4 linked regions of the Drosophila melanogaster genome follow. The protein of the gene in region 3 purifies or fractionates together with the protein of the main gene of each other region. This does not show direct contact. Each region holds a gene or a part of one and is shown on either strand. Other genes may lie near its edges.

Region 1 (5,303 bases), on a different chromosome or scaffold from region 3:
GATCCTAGTAAATATATACGGAATCTCATTAATTGCTAATATTTCTAACGCAAAGCATGAGTATCTTCTCTCTGCATCGCTGCATAGCCAGCAATAATAAAATACAGGCTTCGTGCTGTCTTCTTCTCGTCGGAGCATAATTCCTGCTATTCCCAGTTTACTCTCATCAGTGTGTACTTCTTTACTGGGTGAACACCGGCTTCGTTGCTAAGGCTTCCTTTAATCTTCTCCCCATACGAACTCCACATCCTTTTTCAATAAATTGCTCATTGGATAAGCAATCATACTGAAAGACCATAGGTTCGTTCACCAGATCAAAGGGCATCACATAAAATTAATTCAGTCCACTTGGTGTCATAAATGCCGTTAAATGCTTGCTTTTCTCGTCCATCGGGACCTGGTAATAACCAGAGGTCCAGCGTCTTGAAGTATATGCTTCCGGATAGCAGGGCCAATTGTTCCTCTACGATTGGCATCAAATAGAGCGTTTAAAGCCCGGTAGTCCACGCATAGGCACTCGTAATGGATACCACTATAACCATCGTCGTCGTCTTGCACCTGCCAATTTTCGATCCAATCTTTTTCAAAACATTCTTCATAGGATTTTAACAGATTGTTAATGTTCGTATTAACGTTGAGTTGACCGTGTCGATGAACGCTTTAAACTTTTGATCTCCAATCAGAACTGTTTTTACTATTGGCGGATACTCCTTATGTTTTGCCTCATGCACTTGAGCATTCTTTGACGATGTTTTCACCTTGCAATCCTGTTCATTATGCCCAATCCTAGAACATTTGGAACACCGTTCATTTTGCTGTTGCTTTTCATTGCTGTTACCTTGTTCAAGTGCGTATGTCCATTGCTAATAAGGCTTTCGTGAGTTCTTGTGAATTAAGTCCGCTGAAAATATATGAATTTATTGATGACTCCCACGTCGTCCGATACATAACATCGCATAAAAGTATTCGATGAATGACTCGCTATTGCGTCGCTATCGTCGCAATAAATCTCTTTGCACATCGGCTGTATTCATCACACTTGGAAAATCAAGTGCGAATGCCGATTTGAATGATTTTGAATGATCGATATACCTGCTGTGCATTCATACATGTTTTTGCAACTCCACGCATCTCCTTTAAATCATTGATTTGAGTTTGCATACTTGTGCTTGCGTTTTGATCCAATATTTCGTAAACATCAGTATCAATTTCATCATTTCCTAGTTTCGTCATCAATTCGTTCACCTTTGCCGGTTTTGTTTCCTTTGATTTGGATATCATGAGGCCGCAGGATCACGTCAGTAAATCACTAATCTTTAACTAATATTTATTTTATATATATAAATTTAATATTTGTATTGTGCATGAATCTCCAATGAGGGCGTCCAGCTCGCTGGAGAACGTCAAAAAGTTGACCACGCCGGGGACCGTGATCCGCAGTACTTTAGGTAGACGGCGAGTAGGTGGGGGTGCGCCGGGAGCAGGTGTATTAATTATTGCAGGCTTCAGTTTGCCAAGATCGATCGCGGCTTGCGAAGTGGGGGGGCATCCTTATCTGCAGGGCGATAACCGCACAAATCGTTTATAAGCCTTTAGCGACTGCAAAGGCGTGTTCCATGTGTTATTTTGGGGAAAAGAATGGAGTCGCTTTTGTGGCGTACTTCTTGGCATGCTCTAGGCAGAACCGGGGAGATCGGTGAAATGGATATGTGTGGATATGCAGTGGATATGCTTGATGTGGTCATACTTGTTGTATTGAAAGTTGTGATTTCCCACGGGGTGGAGATAACAAGGCATTCGCCATTGAGTAGTTGGGCTTGCAGTTCTGATGATCCTACATTTGCGATTGCCTTGATTTCGTCGAAGTGAATTGATTTCCTTAGTGATAGATTAATATTTTCTTCCATGCCAAAAAACTTTTAGCCACGCATACTCAAGCGCGCACTCTAAATAACGGGTATCTGGAGGTCGTTAACCTCTGCTCTAGCATTCTGTCTTTTTTAAATTAGGATCGTTACGATCGTCAATGTTTTCTGGTATCTAAGATATTTAGTAATGGCTTTCTTATGAGGGATTGTATTAGAGTTTTTTTAATAAGTATAAATTTACATTAATAATGCGTTTTTCGCTTTCTTTCTATTTTATTTTTACCAATATTTAAGCTTAACAGCAATGTTATTTTACTGTAATTAATTTGCAAATTGTTTTTAAGATTTTCTAGTGCTTGTAATTTAAATTAAATTATTATGTATTTCTTGCATGTGTTTGTCTTTCCTTAAAAAATATAAGAAACCAAAATATACCTACATAGCAACTGAAATTAATACAGATTTATCGTAGTTAAATAAAACAAGAGTGAATGCTATAGTCGAGTTCCCCGACAATCAGATACCCGTTACTCAGCTAGTGTGAAAGCAAACCCGAAATTGCATCATTTTTCTGGGAATTCGATAGATATTGGGGAATAAAATGAAAAAAATTAAAAATTGGTCCAAAGTGGTTCGGGCCAAGACCGGTTCGGTGGCTTTAGGGCGTTAGAGTGGGCGTTTCAAAAAGATTTTTTGCAAATCGATAGAAATTTACCAGACAAATAAAATTATTAAAATATTACTATTATTAAATTACTCTACGAGTAGTGATGATCAATAGCCAAGTCGATCTAGCCATGTCCGTCTGCCCGTATGAATGTCGTGATCTCAGAAACTTTTAAAGGATGTGTTGATATTTTTTGCGTTTTTATTAGTCTTGTAAATTTCTATCTAACGCCCTAAAGGCGCCGAACCGGTCAGGCCCATACTTTGGAACAATTTTAAAATTTTTTCTCATTTTATTCCTCAATATCTATCGATATCCAAGAAAAAATTTGGAGTTCGCATTAACACTAGCTGAGTAACGGGTAGCTGATAGTCAGGTAACTAGACTATAGCATTCTCTCTAGTTTTTGATTATTATTGTAAGCTTTTATTCGTGGTCATATATCAAAAACCAATTATTAAACTGTATTTCCATTTAACATTATACAAATCGATTTATTTTCTTGCGAAAGATTTCAAAAATAAAAGAAACCATCGAAATCACACTAGTCCATACTGTTTTTACAAATAGTTTTGACATGCTAAATTTATGCCATGCCATTTTTAGGCCGTGTTTTGCTTGCGATGTACACAAAAAAATATATGCATTTTCTTTTGTAGTACCTGACTTTTTAAATAGCTGTTAGAAGAATAAAAACGAATATTTTTCCCGTATCTTTTGATACCAAAACACACAGAACTGTATAAATATTAAACACCAAATTGAAACAAAATCAGGTGGTTCAGCTATGACACTTTTAGCCTTAAACACGTGCGCGCGCAGGGCTTATACGAATGTTTAAGTGTATTATTTATATTGTTCCCACCAGGAGAAAACGCAATAGTCCACTTCCTCGACCATCAAATACCGTCCACTCCCGTGACTAATTAATACCCGTACTCTTGATGATATGATACTCCCAGCTACTCTTGATGATATTCCGAATTCGAATAAACAGATGTAATAGTCTGGAAATGGAACAAGAGAGATTGCTATAGTTGGTTACCCCGACTATCAGATACCCGTTACTCAGCTTGAGGGAATGCAAACGCGAAATTTCGTCATTTGTATGGGATATCGATAGATATTGGGGAATGAAATGAGAAAAAATTTAAAAAAATATGTTTGAAAGTGTGGGCGTTACCGTTTTGGGCGTTGTGTAGGTGAAAGGAGGAACGTGGCCACAGTGTTTGGTAAAAATTTGAAAGACAAACAATCTCCAACCAATCTCTTTGTTTTTATAGGGGATGCATTTTGAGTAGACGTCAATACAGGATAAATATTCTTTATTGTCTAGCATTAATATCAATAACGTAAAGTTCTCTTCAGTTTTTTGTCTCTGGAGTTTAAAAATAAGTTTCGTTGGTCTACGTACTGTTTTTGCAAGATTGCAGACTTTGAAAACATCAATGATTTTTTGAATATATGTATTATAGTCGGGAAAATAGTGGGTTTTTTCAAAAACTCGTATAATTTTTTCGATACCTTTATGTGTTGAATTCAGCGTAATAGTTAATGTCCTTTAATTTAATTATAAAAACTGTTACGTTGCTGTTTGGGTTAATAGTTTCAAGACTTTTTATAAAATATTTTTCTATTTACAGATACATAGATAGTGATAGATAGATAGTGACAGTGACTTTTCCATTTTTCAAAGTGCGTATCATGAAACTATTAACCCAAACAGCAACGTAACACTGTGGCCCACCCCCCACTTTCAACAACAAAACGCCCACCCTTTTAAACAATTTTTAAATTTCTTAAAGGTGTAACGAGGATTATATTCAGTTCGTGGTGGACGCCGAACATAAGACCGAGAGCCTTTCCCACCAAGCAACACAATTTTGCTTTCATCTGACCAAAAAATGTTTCGCCACTTCTCCACAGGCCCGTCCTTGTGTATCTTGTCATATTCAAATTGCTTTGCCACATGCTTAACAGTCAAAAGCGGGACTTTTCTGGGGCTGCACGCATTAAGGTTGCTTTGTCCTAAGCGTTTGCGAACAGTTTCCACGCTTTTAGCTATCTGAAGCTCCTTCTTCCATGTTTCGTTCTTTTCGACAAACAGCAGTGCTTTGCGGATCATTTTGTTTCAGCAACCGACAATGCGACCAATTTCAGAGTAGGTTTTACCTTCAGAGATCATGTTTTTAATCAAATTTCTTTTTTCGACGGTACAATGCTTTCCGCGACCCATGACTAGAGAATTTTTGGTCTTCGTTTGGAAAAAATTCAATTAAAACCTTTAGTGCAACTCCGTTTTTCAAAATTTGTCGAAAAAAAACCAAAGTAATCACCCCTATTAATTTTATTCAGCAAATACGTGGTCAGTGCTATTTTTGTTACCGCCTCATTTTGGGCACTTTTGCAGCAAGTGCCCAAAAACAAAAAAGAACCGTTACATTGAAAGAGTAAAAATTTCTTGCTCAGAGATGCAACATATGGTACTTATTATTCATACAATCTGACTTAAAAAAAAAAATAAACATTTAATAATTTTTTTTACGAAATCAACTTTCCACCTGCAGTAGTGCTATTGTTTTAAACGCAGCTGTATATACAAAAGTTACGCTTTAGATTGGCCATCAAATAGTCCAGATCTAAGTCCCATAAACAATTTTGGTGGCTAATAAAGAGAGATCTTTGAAATGAGCCACAAAGGAACATTTCGGTCTTTAAACGAAGTTGTAAGCGATGTGAGACTCGATTTCTCGAGGACATTGCCAAAA
Region 2 (4,460 bases), about 14 Mb from region 3:
ACATAATTATGAAATACATGGGGCGCCGTTTTCTGGCTAGGATTAGAAGGAGGGAAAACAATCGGTTTTGTGCGCGAAGGCAGAGCAGACGGATTATGTCCGCTCGAATGATGCTTGGGTAAGAGGTTGTGTTCCTCTCGATTCAGTGTGTTAGTCTTTTTGTTGCCGCTTCTGATGATCGCTAAGGCTGAAGATCCGCAGGGACCCCGCTGCACCTAATCGCCTTTGCGAGGCTTGCGCTTGCGCACCTGTTCCGTCTTCTCGGGCGCAGCATCGCCGGCCTGCTTGGGCTCCGGCTTCTCTTCCTTTTCCGGCTCGCTGTCGGCCTCCTTCTCTTTAGTGGCCAGATCGCCCACCTGCTCCTCGCTGTCCTCTTCCTCTTCGTCGTCGTCCTCCTGTTCTTCCTCGTCGCTATCGCGTTGCTCGTCATCGTTCTCCTCGGCGTCGCCATCATCCTCGATCTCCTCGGTTGCCAAATCCTCCAGGCCCTCGGTCAGATTGTCCTGGGACTCGGAGAAGCTCTGGCGCTGCGACTTCTTGGGTGGGTAGACAAAGTCCACAAGGCACACGAGCAGCAGCCCCAGGGCAGCGCCCACGAAGATGGTGGCGATGGCGAAGAGGGCGTAGGAGCCCCACGTGGGCAGTCCGTATTCCTCCTGCAGGCGCCCGTTGAAGTCCTTAAAGAGTTTTTGCGTATGCTATTAGTACATGAACCCAACATACAAGACAACAGCAGAGAGCAAAGACCAGAGTAATGAGTGATGGGCGGCAATCTTTTGTGGGTCAACGGGATCAACCCGCTGATAAGCTTCCGCTTATGTCTCATGCAGTGAACCGATGCGATAATGGGCTAGGTGAACGTACCTTCAGAGTGTGCGAAAGCTTGAAGAAGTAGGACAGCACGGACATGTGGGTGGTGTCGGGCTTCTTCCAGGCGGACAGCGGTTCGATGCTCTGCCACTGCTGCTTCTTCACGAAGTAGAGGAGGGCGTCGCCATCACGGGCCCCACGATACTGCCGGAACTCGCCATCTTTTACGCTGGAAATGATTGACGTGGATTACGACGATGTGTATTTCATGGGTTGAAAAGGTCTATGTGGTGCTCACTGGTAGATGGTGGGGAGGGCGGTGACAAAGAAGCGTCCACTCAGCGAGGGCGAGGTTGTCACGTCGATTTTGGCCACCTGCACCTGGACATCCTTGGCCACGCGGGCAAACCGCTCCCAGGTGGGAGCCAGGTTCTTGCAGGCCGGGCACCATGGAGCAAAGCTGTGAATGGAGGGAGAAACATATGTTTAACACAGCTGCCGATGAGTCATCGTCGCCGCAAAGGAATGTCTGGTATTTCGGAGAACGAAAGAACCAGCTTGCCGGCTGGAGAAAGCCGGCGCACCACGCCCCTTTATGTTACGTCAGGGGCAGCGGGGTTTCATGTGGGTAGGGACTACTCAGAGCCACCCTTTCGCACTCACAACTCGATCATCCATTCGCCCTGGAGCATCAGGTGCCAGTTGTCCTCGTCCAACTCGATTAACTTGCCACCTGGCTGCAGTCCTGACTGCGCTGCTGCCGTCGACTGCGCCGTCGCCGCCAGCAGAAGCAGCGCCGCGCATGTCGCGGCCACAAAGTACGATGTGCTATGCATGTGGTGATGTTTTGGTGCTTTGCTCCGCCGATTCGTGTCCTGAAACCTGTGACGTTCGGCTGCGACAGTTTCTTAAATTAAACTAAAGCTTCCGTCTTGGTCAGTTCCAAAAAGTTACAGAAACTGCGACGCCTGCTGGAAAATTGACAGAAGTGCTGGTTCGATATCCATCGGAGATGGCAAGCCGCTTTATTCCCCGCTAGATCATCGGTAGGGGGATTCGGTCGGTATTCGCTCGTTACACGATTTTTTATTTATTAGATCAAGCTTCAAGTTTTCTTACATACAAATTCAATTTTTATCGTATCTTCAAAATCATTTTAATTATAATAACTTATTTTATTGAAGCCTCTGCAATGTCAAGCTATTTATAAGTCGATTGAACTGCATACAAATACTACATTTGTACCATCGCTATTGCAATCGATAACTCCAGACAACAACAAAGAAAATAAAAGTTTACGAAAACATAACAAAATTCGACATTTTGGAAGTTTCCCTCGCCACAAGAAATGGCCCATAACTACCTGCAGCCAGTGCACGATCACTTCGATGACGTGGACAGATTCGAGGACGTGGACGACGACCTATTCCTGCAGAACAAACGGACGGGAGCAGCCAAGCTTCCGCAGCAGAGGAGCACCAATCCCTTCGAGATGGATGACGATGACGAAGAGGAGATAACCTCGTCGCCATCAGTGGCCGCACAGCGACTGGCCTATGCTGAGAAGCGAAGGGCCATTGAGCAGCGAACTCTGGACTCTACCAACAAAAGCTTGGGTAAACATGGGGTCAATTGCCAGCCAATTAAGGGGCGTTATTGATGCGTCTCTCTCCTACAACCCCCAGGTCTGCTCTACGAAACCCAGGAGGTGGGTAAGGCGACGGCCGTGGAGCTGGCCAAGCAGCGGGAGCAACTGGAGAAGACATCACATCAGTTGGACGAGATCAGCTCCACGCTGCGCTTCAGCCAGCGCCATCTGACTGGTCTGAAGAGTGTCTTCGGCGGCCTCAAGAACTACCTTTCGGGCAACAGGGACCAACCACCCACCGCGACTGGTTCGCCCACGGGCAGTCAGTCCTCCCAGGAGGCCAATAGCAACATTAACCAGGGTGCCTGTGGCGGTGCTAGCCCCTCGGCTCCGCTATCACCAGCGGAGCGCTACGACAATCATCCGGTTAGCCAGCTGCGTGGTGATCCCAGCAGCACCTACCAGCCCCAGCGACAGGCGGCCAATCCCTTCCAGGCCCAGATCGATTCCAATCTGGAGGAGATGTGCAGCAACCTGTCGGTGCTGAAGATGCTGGCCACCGATCTGGGTGGCGAAATTGAGTCGCAAAATGAATTGCTGGATAACATGAACTACAAAATTGAGGATGTCGACTTGAAGATTCACAAGCAGAACAAGGACATGAGCAAGCTTCTGAAGAAGTGAACAAGCGAGCATTCGCATACTATTGTATTGATCATTGCTTAGAATAGCCCTCCCTTAATATACAAATCTTAGCCATACCATATCGCACGGTGAGCACTTCACAAGGCCATTAAGAATGCATTCCTCATTATGTTTCCTAGTTTTTTATTGTTACACACACCAAAACAATTCTCTCAATGGAGTGCTCGTAGTTGGAGAGCGATAAGTGTTCAGTTTTAAATAAAGATTCATATAAAAAGCAAGTATATCTGGCCTAGTGTTTCCCCGTCTGGATTGGAATACATTATACATTTTCGGAAGATATCTCGAGTTGCAGTGCTCGCGCCCTAATAAAGATATATAGTTCTTTGTTTGAATTCGATAACTTCCGGACAACAGCGACCAATCGATTCGCTAAAGCTATCAAGCAATCGAATTCCAGTTGATACCATCGCTGGAAAGCTCTTTTCTCAAACGCATCCAAAAGAATAGCGCCAACTCAGCGCATTCCGGAATTCGTTTCGTAAATATTCTGTAAATTTTGCGATAATGGAAGAAAACTTCGAACCGTACACCCCACAGTTGCTCAAGAATCCCTTGTCCTATTCGTGAGTAATAAGATACATATTAAAGGCACTCATGACCACGTGCAACTCATTCTGCAGGGATCTCGTGAAAAAGGGCGTTGAGTTCGAGGTCGACAATTCGCAGCAGAACCATGCCAGGGATCTGGGTCTCGACAGCGACAGCGACAGCGACTACGAGGATGCGCTGGACGTGGACGGCGAGGAGCTACGTTCACCGTGGACATATTCATTCGACGAACTGCGTGCGCTGATGAGCGAGATCGACGAAAACATTTACAAGCGGATCACTCGCACCGGTCACGTGGATCGGGAGGCGGTGCCGAACAAGGCTAGGGTCTCGGTTCGGTACAGTGGCTACTGGGAGGGCGAGACCGCTCCCTTCGACTCCTCCCTGCTGCGGGGCAGCAAATTCGTGTTTGAAACTGGCCAGGGAACGGTGGTTGAAGGCCTGGAGGTCGCCGTCCGCAGCATGCGTCCTTACGAGCAGGCCGAGTTTATAATCTCCTACAAGCTGCTTTTCGGAGAACTCGGTTGCCCTCCGCGGATCAAGCCCAAGGCGGATGCGCTCTTTAAAGTGGAGGTAATTGACTACTCGCTCATAGGAGATGCGAAGGGCATCGATGCTATCCCCCAAGAAGACCGCGACAAGTTTTGTGTGGTCTATCCGAAGGCTGTCGACTTGCACCTACATGGCAAGGACTCGGTGAAGCTCGGACGCTATCAGAGTGCAGCAACTGCCTTCGAACGGGCAGTGAGCTCACTGAACTACTGCCGAATGGCCAATGACGAGGAGGAGCGCAAGCAAACTGAAC
Region 3 (6,192 bases):
CCGCGCACCTTTAGGAAGTTCGAGCGGTACTGGCACGTCATTCCGTAGCCAAAGTCCCGCCAGAAACCGGTGTCCCTCGATATCACCAGTTGCTCCTCTTCGCTGGGCAAGGGCTTGCCCTGCAGTGAGTACACCACATGCGGATTGTACAGGCTAAATACGACGGGGTAGTAGACCTAAGCGTTGAAAATAGATGTTAATGTATTAGTAATTTAAATAATAGCAGATATATTTACCTTCTTTCCAGGCGCTGCATTCCAGCGACAACGCTCCAGGAACTTGGTCGTGAACATAATGTCCACGTCGCACATGAAGAGCAGCACGTCCTCCTCAGCGGGTTGAATGTGCTCCGCTCCCAGTCTTAAAGCTTTGGCTATAAGCAAAATGGCTATTATTAACTACCAATATTATTTGTAATGCATTATAAACTTGCATATGTATTATGAACGAAACAAATGTAATATTAATAAACGAAACCCGTGCTTACCCCTACTGAAAGTCTCATTGAGTGCCAAAAACTGAGTCCTTTGGGATCGTCCAGCCAGGCTCCTAGCTTGCTCCAATCCACTGGTTCCAAAGTACACCACAATAAGCTCCAGGCGACGATCCTCTAGCTTGGCGAACATCTGCAGGAAGCCGCGAAAGCTGTGCAGACGTCCAGCCAGCGGTAGTATCACGTGGATTATGGGCGGACTATGACTTGGAGGGGCACCACTATTATCCACACTGGAAGATAGCTCCGATAGCTGCACCGTTTGCAGAGGAGCAAATGGTCGCATGACCAGGGCTCTCCGCACTGGACTCGCCTGGTGCTTGACACTCTGGAAGTACAGCTCGTACTGGGTGCCTGTGGTGGGTTCGTTGCGGTATATGCCCTCGATAAAGTCATCCAGGGTGTATTTGATCACATCCGAGGCGTAAGCCGCTGCAGAACCAGCTCCCTTGGCTCGTATTCTCGCTGAGTGATTCCTGTTCAGGCTCTCCAGCGCCTTGTTTACCGCCTCGATGAGGTCACGTCGTCGATAACCGATGGGCTTCTCCACCACGCGCTTTCCCAGGCCCAAGTCGATGGGATATACTCGCGTGAAGGTGAAGTGATTGTAGGGTATCAGCTCGTACTCGTTGTTCAGCGGCAGTCCATGCAGAATTTCTGCGGCGCCCACCTGCTTGCGAATATAGCTGCTGCAGTCGTAATGGTGACCCAGTGGTGCAGTTGGTGGCCCCGCGGTGGTTTCTTGCAATTGAAGACTGCCATTTGATGGCTTGGCAGTGCTGCGATTATTCTGTAGAAAGAGGATTTGAGTGCGGAGAGCCAGGACTTCCTGTTTCAGCCGCTCAATTTCCGCCTCTCGTTCGCTTAAGGTGTAACTGAATCCGCTGGATTCACTCGGATTATTGGCTTGAGTTTCCCTCGTCGTCAGTTCATCGAATCCGCACTTTGTGAGCACCACAATGGAGGCGCCGGTCAACAAGGCGAAGAGCAGCAAAAGCCGCAGCAGCAACTTGGTCACCAGGGAGTTATGCATTTTCCATAGTTTCTTACAAAATTTTCAACCTATTGAAAATAATAAAATAATTAGTTATCTAAGTGCAATAGTAAAATGCAAACACACATTTGAGACTGTAAAAAAAACTAGTAACGAATTATCACAAATTTTATACATTGCTGTGGAATTCTACATTTTTATTACATATTATACATGTACATGGCTCGGTAGAACAGTTTATTGGTTTTTGTCTCTGCTATTTAGGCAACAGTGCGTTATTAATAATTTTCGCTGATCTTTTGTAAAAGTATTAAAGATAAATCAGTTAAGAGCAAACAAAAATTTCATTTTGGCTTGCGGCACTGGTAATTTAAGTAATAAAATAAGATACAATAATATAAGACATTGATTTGAAATCAAACATCATCTGCAAGGAACTAAAGAAAAATGGAATGCAAGTGCTTGTTAACAATAATTTGTGCGCCGATACACATACTAAATATACCAATTCATGTTTTTTATAAGCTAGATAAGTATTATCTTTTTATATTTGCAAGGGGTTTTCAGGAAACATCGATAGTATCGATAAGGTATCGGGCTTGGTTCCAGCTCTAATAGTTCAACGGTCACACTGATCACAAGCTGATATTTCTATAAAAAAAAATAGTGCTATTTAAAAAGCAGCCGCAGTTTTCCGTGGAAAACCCGAAATACACAGCAGTATTCTACAGGCACATTGTCAAGGTGAGTGCTCGGGGGTGGTGGGTGGTTGGGGGTGGCGTTCCACCCATGTAAACAGCGTTTGTTGGCAGTGCGGCATGCAACAAGTTCTTTTTTCGAGCAAAGGTGATGGCATTCCTATAAATCGAGTGATTCATAGGCCGAATAGATAAGGCGTGTGCTGCGTTTTGTTTTCTTTTCTTTTCGGCCCTGTAATCTAAACAATTTCGGGTGTGTGTGTGTGATGGAACATGCATTCTCCCCATTTAAAGAACCAGACATCCAATAAAGGCCTTTCTCTGCTTCGCTTTCTTTCCGCAGCAAATTCACAATGGAGAACAACGAAGCCCCCTCCCCCTCGGGATCCAACAACAACGAGTAAGTGGTGGAAATCCATCGAATCAACAGGCTCAGCGCACAAAAGCAAGGAAAATCCCATACAGTGACGTCACCTGAGTCATATGGGCCACAGCGAACCGGAAGTAAAGTCTTCGGACTTCACTTTCGGACATTGGAATACCGTAAACGTCATGCTGCTGCCCAAGCGGTAGCTTCAGTTGTAGTTTGAAATCAATTAGGGTCATTAAAAGCATTCAGTTAAGTTGAGATATTGTAAAGTCAGTTGCTATCTTAGATGGAATATTAATGTGAAATGGCAAATTAACTCGAATAACAAAAAAGTATTAATTATATTCGATTCTAAATTGTAAAACATTTGCAAGTAGCTTATAATCAGAAACAGAATTTGCTTATTAATCACTTTATCGCAAATGGTAACTGAACATACTTAAGTATGTTTCATTTAACATCTATGAAAAACAAATGAATATTACTCATTTTATATTTTTTTTTGTCAATGGAATTTCAACAGCACTTGAGATTGTGAAGTTTTATTAGTCTATCCGAATTTAAGAAGAAAGAAAGTATTTATAGGACACAAGTCCCATTATTAAAACGTGAAAGGTGAATTGGCATAGATAACGATGGCATGATATACCAAGACTCGTGCTTTTGTGCGTTGCAGCTTGATGATCCATCTGCTGCTCTTAATAAGTGTAAGCAACCCCCACAAACACACATAATATTGTACAGTTTTCCCATACTTCCGCCACCGCCGAACGCGAATGACAACTACAATCAATTCGGTGACCATCAAATCAGGAACAACAATGCAGCCCAGAAGAAGCTGCAGCAGACCCAAGCCAAGGTGGACGAGGTGGTCGGGATTATGCGTGTGAACGTGGAGAAGGTCCTGGAGCGGGACCAGAAGCTATCGGAACTGGGCGAGCGTGCGGATCAGCTGGAGCAGGGAGCATCCCAGTTCGAGCAGCAGGCCGGCAAGCTGAAGCGCAAGCAATGGTGGGCCAACATGAAGATGATGATCATTCTGGGCGTGATAGCCGTTGTGCTGCTCATCATCGTTCTGGGTAAGCTAACCGATTTTATACCGCTTCGGCTTTTTGCCTCTTGCTGGTGCTTCTTTCTGGTTGCGGTTTTTCTCGATCAGGCTAAAGATCAGTAGTGTAGCTAGGTGGCTGGTTTGGTTTGGTATTGTTATATCTATAACGCAAGTCGACGCCCTGCAAACGCCCTAATCTTGCTCAACCTGTGGTTTCGGTCCTAACAACTTGTCCATGTGGCTTGCAGCTAACTAATCCAATAACAGATACTCCTACTCGTACTGATGACAACCCCTTGTGAATTTCTGTTTACTTGCAGTGTCGCTTTTCAATTGATACAATTAAACACACACTCACAGAAAAACAAAAGCAAAGCCAACAAAAATCATGTAATTCCGTTTCCCAATCAGCAAAGTTAAGGTTCAGATTAATCGTTTAACACGTTTGTGTACGTGTACTGGCTCCTACTATATACTCCTTAAATTGTTTATTATATTTTATAAAAGTCTTAAGCTAAGCAACTCTAAAGCTCTAAAGGTAATTGTTGTTCTTGTGCCTGTCCTAAGTGTTAATTATCGTTATATTTGTTTAGTCTGTAGTGTGCGAAGATTAGAACCTCCATGTCATACGTGTGTAGACTATAAAGTTCATACATATGTATATAGCTTCAGCAAAGCTATTAAGAAGTTAAAAATGGTTATATCTACAGTGCAATGTTGGGGCTAGGGCTCTGTTCTATGGAGAAATTTCATTTTAAAAAGTCATTTCGATTTTATTCAAATTAAACTCGCGTAAAAAGTATTAAATAAGAATGACAATACGAAATCCGTGCTGACATCGAAAGGTATGTAAGATAGTAAGCGGGAAGATAAAATCTGACTTTAAAAGTTGTTAATTAATAAATAACTGAAGAAATCTTTCGTCAACAAAACGCTCAGTACAATGTGCTGGGTGGTTAGAACTTTTACTTAAAAAGACCGCGATTTCATTTAAATGCGAGATAGGATATGAAATCCTTTTCATATCTCGTTGAATTGATATAAACATAGCTCTAATATCTGCGTATTTCCCTTTTTAGTGTCCGTTTGGCCGTCTAGTAGTGACAGCGGCAGTGGTGGAGGAAACAAGGCCATCACCCAAGCACCGCCGCACTAAAGGCCTCCTAGGGAGTGAGGTAAACACATGGATACGAAATGGAAAAGGACCAAACAAACACAACTGGGACGGAAACCTTTCTGGTCTTTTCGCGCAATGAGAGAAGGGGAGATGAAGAAAATCAAAAGGATAACTTACTAAAATTGCGTCTAGCATATATTTAACCAGAATGTAATTATTAAATCTTAATGTTAAACTTAACATTTTTACGTGTCGTAGCCGAGACCAGAGGTCCCATTAATGTGTATTGCATTATATACAATTATATATACGTGTATATCATCCAATTGAAAATACATCATGCCACCTACACTTTAACCGGACCCATCAAGTCCACCGAAGTTTTATGGAAACGTTTCGCGGACAGAGCCATTTATTTACATTCAGCGTTTTTGCTTAAGATGCGCGTGCCATGGAAACAGTTATCGATTTTCCGGCAAACCGAATCGAAACAAGACGACAGCAGTCGCGGGCACCCAGACAAACTTGCCCCATCGACATCGAGGCACTGACCAATTGCCGCAGGAACTGAATCGTCTCGCATAAACATTCTGTCCCAGCTGTTCCGATAGTCCACGCATGCGTTCCACTCATTCGATGTTCTTCCGATAGAACAGGTACACGAATATATCATGAATGTCCGCGCGCCATCCCATCAATTCTATAAACGAGGCTGTCGTCCACACATAGCCCATATATAGGGCAAAAAAGTTGAGGTAGTACAGCTGGCCGATCAGTATGTAGTCCCCGGTCGACTCCTGGCGGTAGAAGTTCGGCTTTCGCATGGAAGCGCCAAAGACTATGACAAACTGTGGGCAAAATTGGAGGAATACTGTGTCGTTATTTTAAAAATGGGAAAGTAGGTGTATCGTTTCGTTTCCCTGAGGCTTACCACGCTCGAGAGAATGGTGTATACTAGCAGGGTTGGAAACTCTATGATAACACGCTTCATCTCGGCACACACGATGATGCCAAAGCAGGTGAGGACAAATATGCGCTCGCTCCACAGGATAACCTTATGCCGGGTAGTCTGTGGTAAAGGAGGTAAGTGTCGGCGGGTCAACAAGTTCTTCACTTACGAAAAGGCCTTTCTTGTGTTTGATGGCACTATTTCCGTATATCACACTGATGATCATCATAAGGAATGTTAGGAAGATTGACAGGATGAGGCTTATATAAGGGGCACGTTTGGCGGGCTTCATGATCGACATGGTGTTCACCTCGTACTGCAGATCAAAAGAGGTCATTCGAAATGGACACCATCAGTTGAGATCATTCATGTACTTACCGTCCAGAGGCCCGCCAATAACCGCACCCACATAGGCTTTTTAACGATTATGTGGTAGAAAAATCCGTAGAGCTGGATGGATAGGAAGCTGACGACAAATTGCACGAGACTGAGGTAGTAGCGATCTGCGAGAAATTCCTTC
Region 4 (4,671 bases), on a different chromosome or scaffold from region 3:
GACTTCACCCGAAAGGTTGTGCTGCAATTCTTGCAGCTAAAAACTTTCTCCGGAATGCTTTTTGTCGATGTCTTAGCCGGCTTTGAGGCGATCTTCTCAGGCGAACGCACGCTGGTCACAGCGAGCGACTTTCTTATGCTGCTCTTTGTTAGCTTGGAGACGGGCAAGCAGCTGCGACGGCTTAGTGACACACCGCCACCGACACTCCGCTTGCGAGCTGGGCTGTTGAGCGTTGTCTTGACCACCACCGACATGCGCTGCTTGAAGGAGTACGTTCGCGTCTCTGCGGTGGTGGTGGGCAGATAGGAGCGCCGAGGGCGCGGTAGGGCGGCACCCGAATAAGTGGAGCTCATGGACTGCCTCTTCTTGCCCGCCTCCACTTTTAATTTGGAGGTCGCTGGCTTCACAGAATCAGCGGAGATCTTTAGAGCTTTGGCAATTAGCTCAGAGACTTCGTTCACTACCTCGTTGACATGGGCGACCTCCTTTTCGGCTCCGGCTGGCGAGACCAGCATGGATACTCCTTCGTTGGATACTGTAAATGTAGATGTTTATAGAACGAAACCATATCTCAATAGTATAAACCTACCTTCAGTTATATTCTCTAAAACTACGTTCGCACTCAAGGGATAGACTTGGCTGGGAGCTGGGGTCTTGGCAGCCTCCTGCAAGGATACATTGTCCATGGTAGCATCCCCTGTTTTTAGGGTATTGGCCTTAACCGTATTGGCGGTCACGTCCACTGAACTGGACAAGGTCGAGTTATCGCCGCCACACCCCTCCGGTTGTGTGTTTTCCTTGTCGTCAATTTGGGTCAGATCTATGCTCTCCATGATCTGTGGTGTCTGCGTTTCGGTCGAAATATTGCCCTTGGAGGGAGTGGAGCACAAGGCGTTGTGCCGGTTAAGAATACTTTTGTCAAATGGGCGCAGAGGAGAATTCTGGTCCGGTTCCCCAATGGTCAACTGATGCAGATCCTTTAGGATAGTGCGCCTTAGGTCCTTATCATCGGTGTTTACCTCCACCTTGCTGTTGTGCACCTCCAGGAACTGGCTGTTCTGGGTGACCAGGGCCGACTGCCACTTGGCATTGGACAGGGTGTCCTCCGCGTCAAAGGATAAATACATGGAGACGCTCTCATCGTTTGTCATTATCGATGAGCTACGGGAATCGATCTGCTGGAAGTGAAACTATTGTTTTAGCAATGAAAATGGGATAATGTTCGGAAGTCTTTTCCCGGCAAATGGAAGCAACACCAACTGAAACCACCAAACACTTGCCTTGCCGGCCATAGTTCTGCGCGAATCGTCCATGGTTAAGTATATGCTATTCCCAATTGGCCACGAGGAATTCCCAAATTAATAAATACAAGCAATTAAGCAAAAATTCGAGCAGCTGAAGACCGACGCTGTACCGAAAAAACAAAGCGTTAATATTTCAAACACACTTTTCAACACTGCGCGCGCAATGAAGATAGCAACGGCGCCGATGGGAATGCGCGGCTTTAAATTATGAAAAGTATTGAAAAAACTATAAATTCTTCACTACTTTCAAATTGATGTTAACGCGTAGGAGACTTTGTAGAAATAAATCTAATTTTTTCGGCACACGACGAATTGAAAGGTTACAGTGACTAGATGGGAAATATTTTTGAAAACATAAAATAATTGTGTTTTATCAGACTCGAACAGGGTTCATGTCTTAGATAAAAGTGTAATATCAGACTGGATTATTAGTTTATGCATGGTAAATCGACTTTTAAACTCAGATTTAATAGTAAAATGTAAGAAAGCCCTCTTTCGTAAATAGTTTGCAGCTTGTTTTGCTTAATTTCTTTAATTGTACTTGTTGCGAACTAAGCCTAAATGCAATATTAAACTTTTAAACTCAGATTTAATAGTAAAACGTAAGCAAGCCCTGTTTCGTAAATAGTTTGCAGCTTGTTTTGCATAATTTCTTTAATTGTACTTGTTGCGAACTAAGCCTAAATGCAATATTAAACAGTGTGAACACACGTAAAAATCGCCTATCGAAAACGACATCGATACTAACATCGATTTTTTTGCAGCTCTAGTATACAAATTGGCGAATTGTTGTGTGGTGTGAAAATTCATACTTTCGCAAATAAATTATTAAACCTTGGCAATAAGTTCCTACGTACGGAGCACAAACGAGCTCATCCCCGCCCCAATTACATATCCACCGAGTTCACACACCGAACCAGCACCAAGGGTAGTTTTTCATCTCGCGCGAGTGAGTCACTGGCCAGATTTCCCCACCCAAAAAAAAAACAAGACAGCCGTCTTGCCTCTCAACCACTTGCCAAGCTCAAGTTCAAGTGATCTCACCAGATAGATAGTTCCGAAATGGCCGCCGTGGAGAATGCCGAGCCGCGCACTGAGCTCCAGGAGCTGCAGTTCAAGTCCGGACAGGTGGCCGATGAATCCCTGGAGAGCACGCGTCGGATGCTCGCCCTCATGGACGAAAGCAAGGAGGCTGGAATCCGCACGCTGGTGGCCCTGGATGACCAGGGCGAGCAGTTGGACCGCATTGAGGAGGGCATGGACCGGATCAACGCGGACATGAGGGAGGCGGAGAAGAACTTGAGTGGCATGGAAAAGTGCTGTGGCATCTGTGTGCTGCCGTGGAAGAAGGTGAACATCAAGGACGACGGTGAGAGCGCCTGGAAGGCCAATGACGATGGCAAAATCGTGGCCAGCCAGCCGCAAAGGGTCATTGATGAGCGGGAACGCGGCGGCATGGGTGCACCACCGCAGTCCGGCTATGTGGCCAGGATCACGAACGATGCGCGTGAGGATGAGATGGACGAGAATCTCGGGCAGGTGAACTCGATGCTGGGCAACCTGCGCAACATGGCCCTGGACATGGGCTCCGAGCTGGAGAACCAAAACAAACAGGTTGATCGCATCAATGCCAAGGGCGATGCCAACAACATTCGCATGGACGGCGTGAACAAGCGCGCCAACAATCTGCTCAAGAGTTAAATATGCACAACGGCCACGTCCCGAAACCATAGCGAACATGTTAGTCAGACACCACCTCCATTTCAATGTTGTTAGGGAAAGAAACCAATGTTGTGGGCACAAACCGTAGCTGGTGGTATTGCGTTATTGATACCATATATTATACACATATACAAGTAGTGGCAACTACTCCTGGCAAACGCAAGCGTAACAAACCCATCTACTTACAAGAACTTTAAGCCGCCGAGCCGGATGAACTAACTACTACTTTCTAAAACTATATATATATATATATATATATATATATATATATATATATATATATATATATATATATATATATACATATATGCGAACCAACATACTAACTACTTACTATTACTACACTCGTGTACAAATGGCAACCAGATGGCGCCGGAAACAATTTTATTATGAGATTTACCGTATATGATGTACTCTGTTTTTGGTACAAACTTTTTGAGCATTTTACCGATCTTTGTGAAATCAAACCAAGCAACTGCTGAGATGGATAAATGTGAATTAATGTATTTACAATTCGTAGAACCACCGCATCCCGCACGGGCACCGAAAAACCAAACAAAGACGGGCGGAAATTATGTATAACGTAGCCAATTTTATGTTCTCCATTGTTAACCCTTTTTAAGTAGGCCATGTATTTGGGCATTTCGCAAGCCCAGCACAGCAGTCCAAGCACCAATTCTATTGAATTACACTAGATTTGCACTCGAACCTCTTGCTTCGTACATATGAATAATTTATCCCCAGTGAATGTAACCCCGATCGAGTTACGTAGCTCTAGCTTAAGTACTTGAAATTGTTGGTTGCAATTATCGCAAATATTTAAGAAACTACCTGTTTGTGCGCAAGATATTTCTCGTTAATTATTAAATGTACTATGGAACGAGTATAGCCAATTGATTAGATAACTTATTTATCGCTACTATTGCCACTTTAGCTTACATTCTTAGCTCTTAATTGCAAGTAAATATAAACAAAATAATTCACCACCAAAACGTGTTAATGGATTTATTGCACTGTACAAAATATTTCGATTAACTGAGAATTTTAGGGCACTCGAAAGTAGTTGCTGGTTGCTATGTAGCCGCTGAAGTCCTCGTCGCAATCGTCGGACTGGGCGAATTCGATTTCCGGCGCCGCCTCGACGGGAATGTACACAATGCTGCCGCGGGTTACCAAGATCTCCTTATCTCCCTGCTGGGTTTTCAATTTAAGAATGCGGGATCCCTTTAGAACTATCAATATGGAGCCGAATGCTTGTATCTCCAGCTTGTACGACTCCAGCGAGTGTTCGATATTCACATTTATCACTGCAAAGTCGGATACTGGCGGAATATAGACCTGGACCTGGTCATCTATGCGGTACGGAATGAACTCCTTGCGATCCTTATACGAACTTTCGAAGATCACAGATTCCAGCAGCTGGTCCACATCCTTGTACTTGGGCGTTAGGCCCGCCCGTATCACATTGTCCGAGCAAGCCATGCACTCCACACAGTCGCCGTCCAGGTAGGCATGAATCTCGTTCGCGCCCAAGTAGATCGCCTGGCCGGGCTGCAGGCGGATTAGGTTGAGGAAGAACAGGGACAGTACGCCCACATCGCCGGGGAAGTCTTTGTTGACCTTGGTGAACACCTCAAGCAGATCG

The links.
Region 1: the proteins of Syb (region 3) and Snap25 purify together in Drosophila melanogaster (affinity purification with mass spectrometry; 2 studies listed by BioGRID, with this or other methods). This does not show direct contact.
Region 2: the proteins of Syb (region 3) and Snap29 purify together in Drosophila melanogaster (affinity purification with mass spectrometry; 2 studies listed by BioGRID). This does not show direct contact.
Region 4: the proteins of Syb (region 3) and Snap24 purify together in Drosophila melanogaster (affinity purification with mass spectrometry; 2 studies listed by BioGRID, with this or other methods). This does not show direct contact.

What each region holds. Positions count from the first base shown.
Region 1 is NT_037436.4:24,072,205-24,077,507, reverse strand, and holds the start of Snap25 (Synaptosomal-associated protein 25kDa), read right to left. Parts: upstream 3,329-5,303; 5' UTR 3,198-3,328; intron 1-3,197. UniProt on the Drosophila melanogaster protein: May play an important role in the synaptic function of specific neuronal systems. Associates with proteins involved in vesicle docking and membrane fusion.
Region 2 is NT_033778.4:23,842,345-23,846,804, reverse strand, and holds Snap29 (Synaptosomal-associated protein 29kDa), read left to right. Parts: upstream 1-2,041; 5' UTR 2,042-2,158; coding exon 2,159-2,426; intron 2,427-2,495; coding exon 2,496-3,082; 3' UTR 3,083-3,322; downstream 3,323-4,460. Other genes in the region: CG5554 (uncharacterized protein), read right to left, coding at 216-698, 865-1,039, 1,109-1,270, 1,474-1,646; shu (shutdown), read left to right, coding at 3,611-3,669, 3,727-4,460.
Region 3 is NT_033778.4:10,248,321-10,254,512, reverse strand, and holds Syb (synaptobrevin), read left to right. Parts: upstream 1-2,095; 5' UTR 2,096-2,231; intron 2,232-2,340; exon of another isoform or gene 2,341-2,438; intron 2,439-2,528; 5' UTR 2,529-2,538; coding exon 2,539-2,585; intron 2,586-3,299; coding exon 3,300-3,634; intron 3,635-3,926; coding exon of another isoform or gene 3,927-3,943; exon of another isoform or gene 3,944-4,144; intron 4,145-4,685; coding exon 4,686-4,762; 3' UTR 4,763-5,078; downstream 5,079-6,192. Other genes in the region: Csgalnact (chondroitin sulfate N-acetylgalactosaminyltransferase), read right to left, coding at 1-176, 237-373, 488-1,526; CG12914 (uncharacterized protein), read right to left, coding at 5,353-5,571, 5,655-5,792, 5,842-5,988, 6,051-6,192. UniProt on the Drosophila melanogaster protein: Involved in the targeting and/or fusion of transport vesicles to their target membrane.
Region 4 is NT_033777.3:9,760,545-9,765,215, reverse strand, and holds Snap24 (Synaptosomal-associated protein 24kDa), read left to right. Parts: upstream 1-2,065; 5' UTR 2,066-2,366; coding exon 2,367-3,005; 3' UTR 3,006-3,911; downstream 3,912-4,671. Other genes in the region: CG8478 (uncharacterized protein), read right to left, coding at 1-535, 590-1,190, 1,281-1,313; Mpi (mannose phosphate isomerase), read right to left, coding at 4,071-4,671.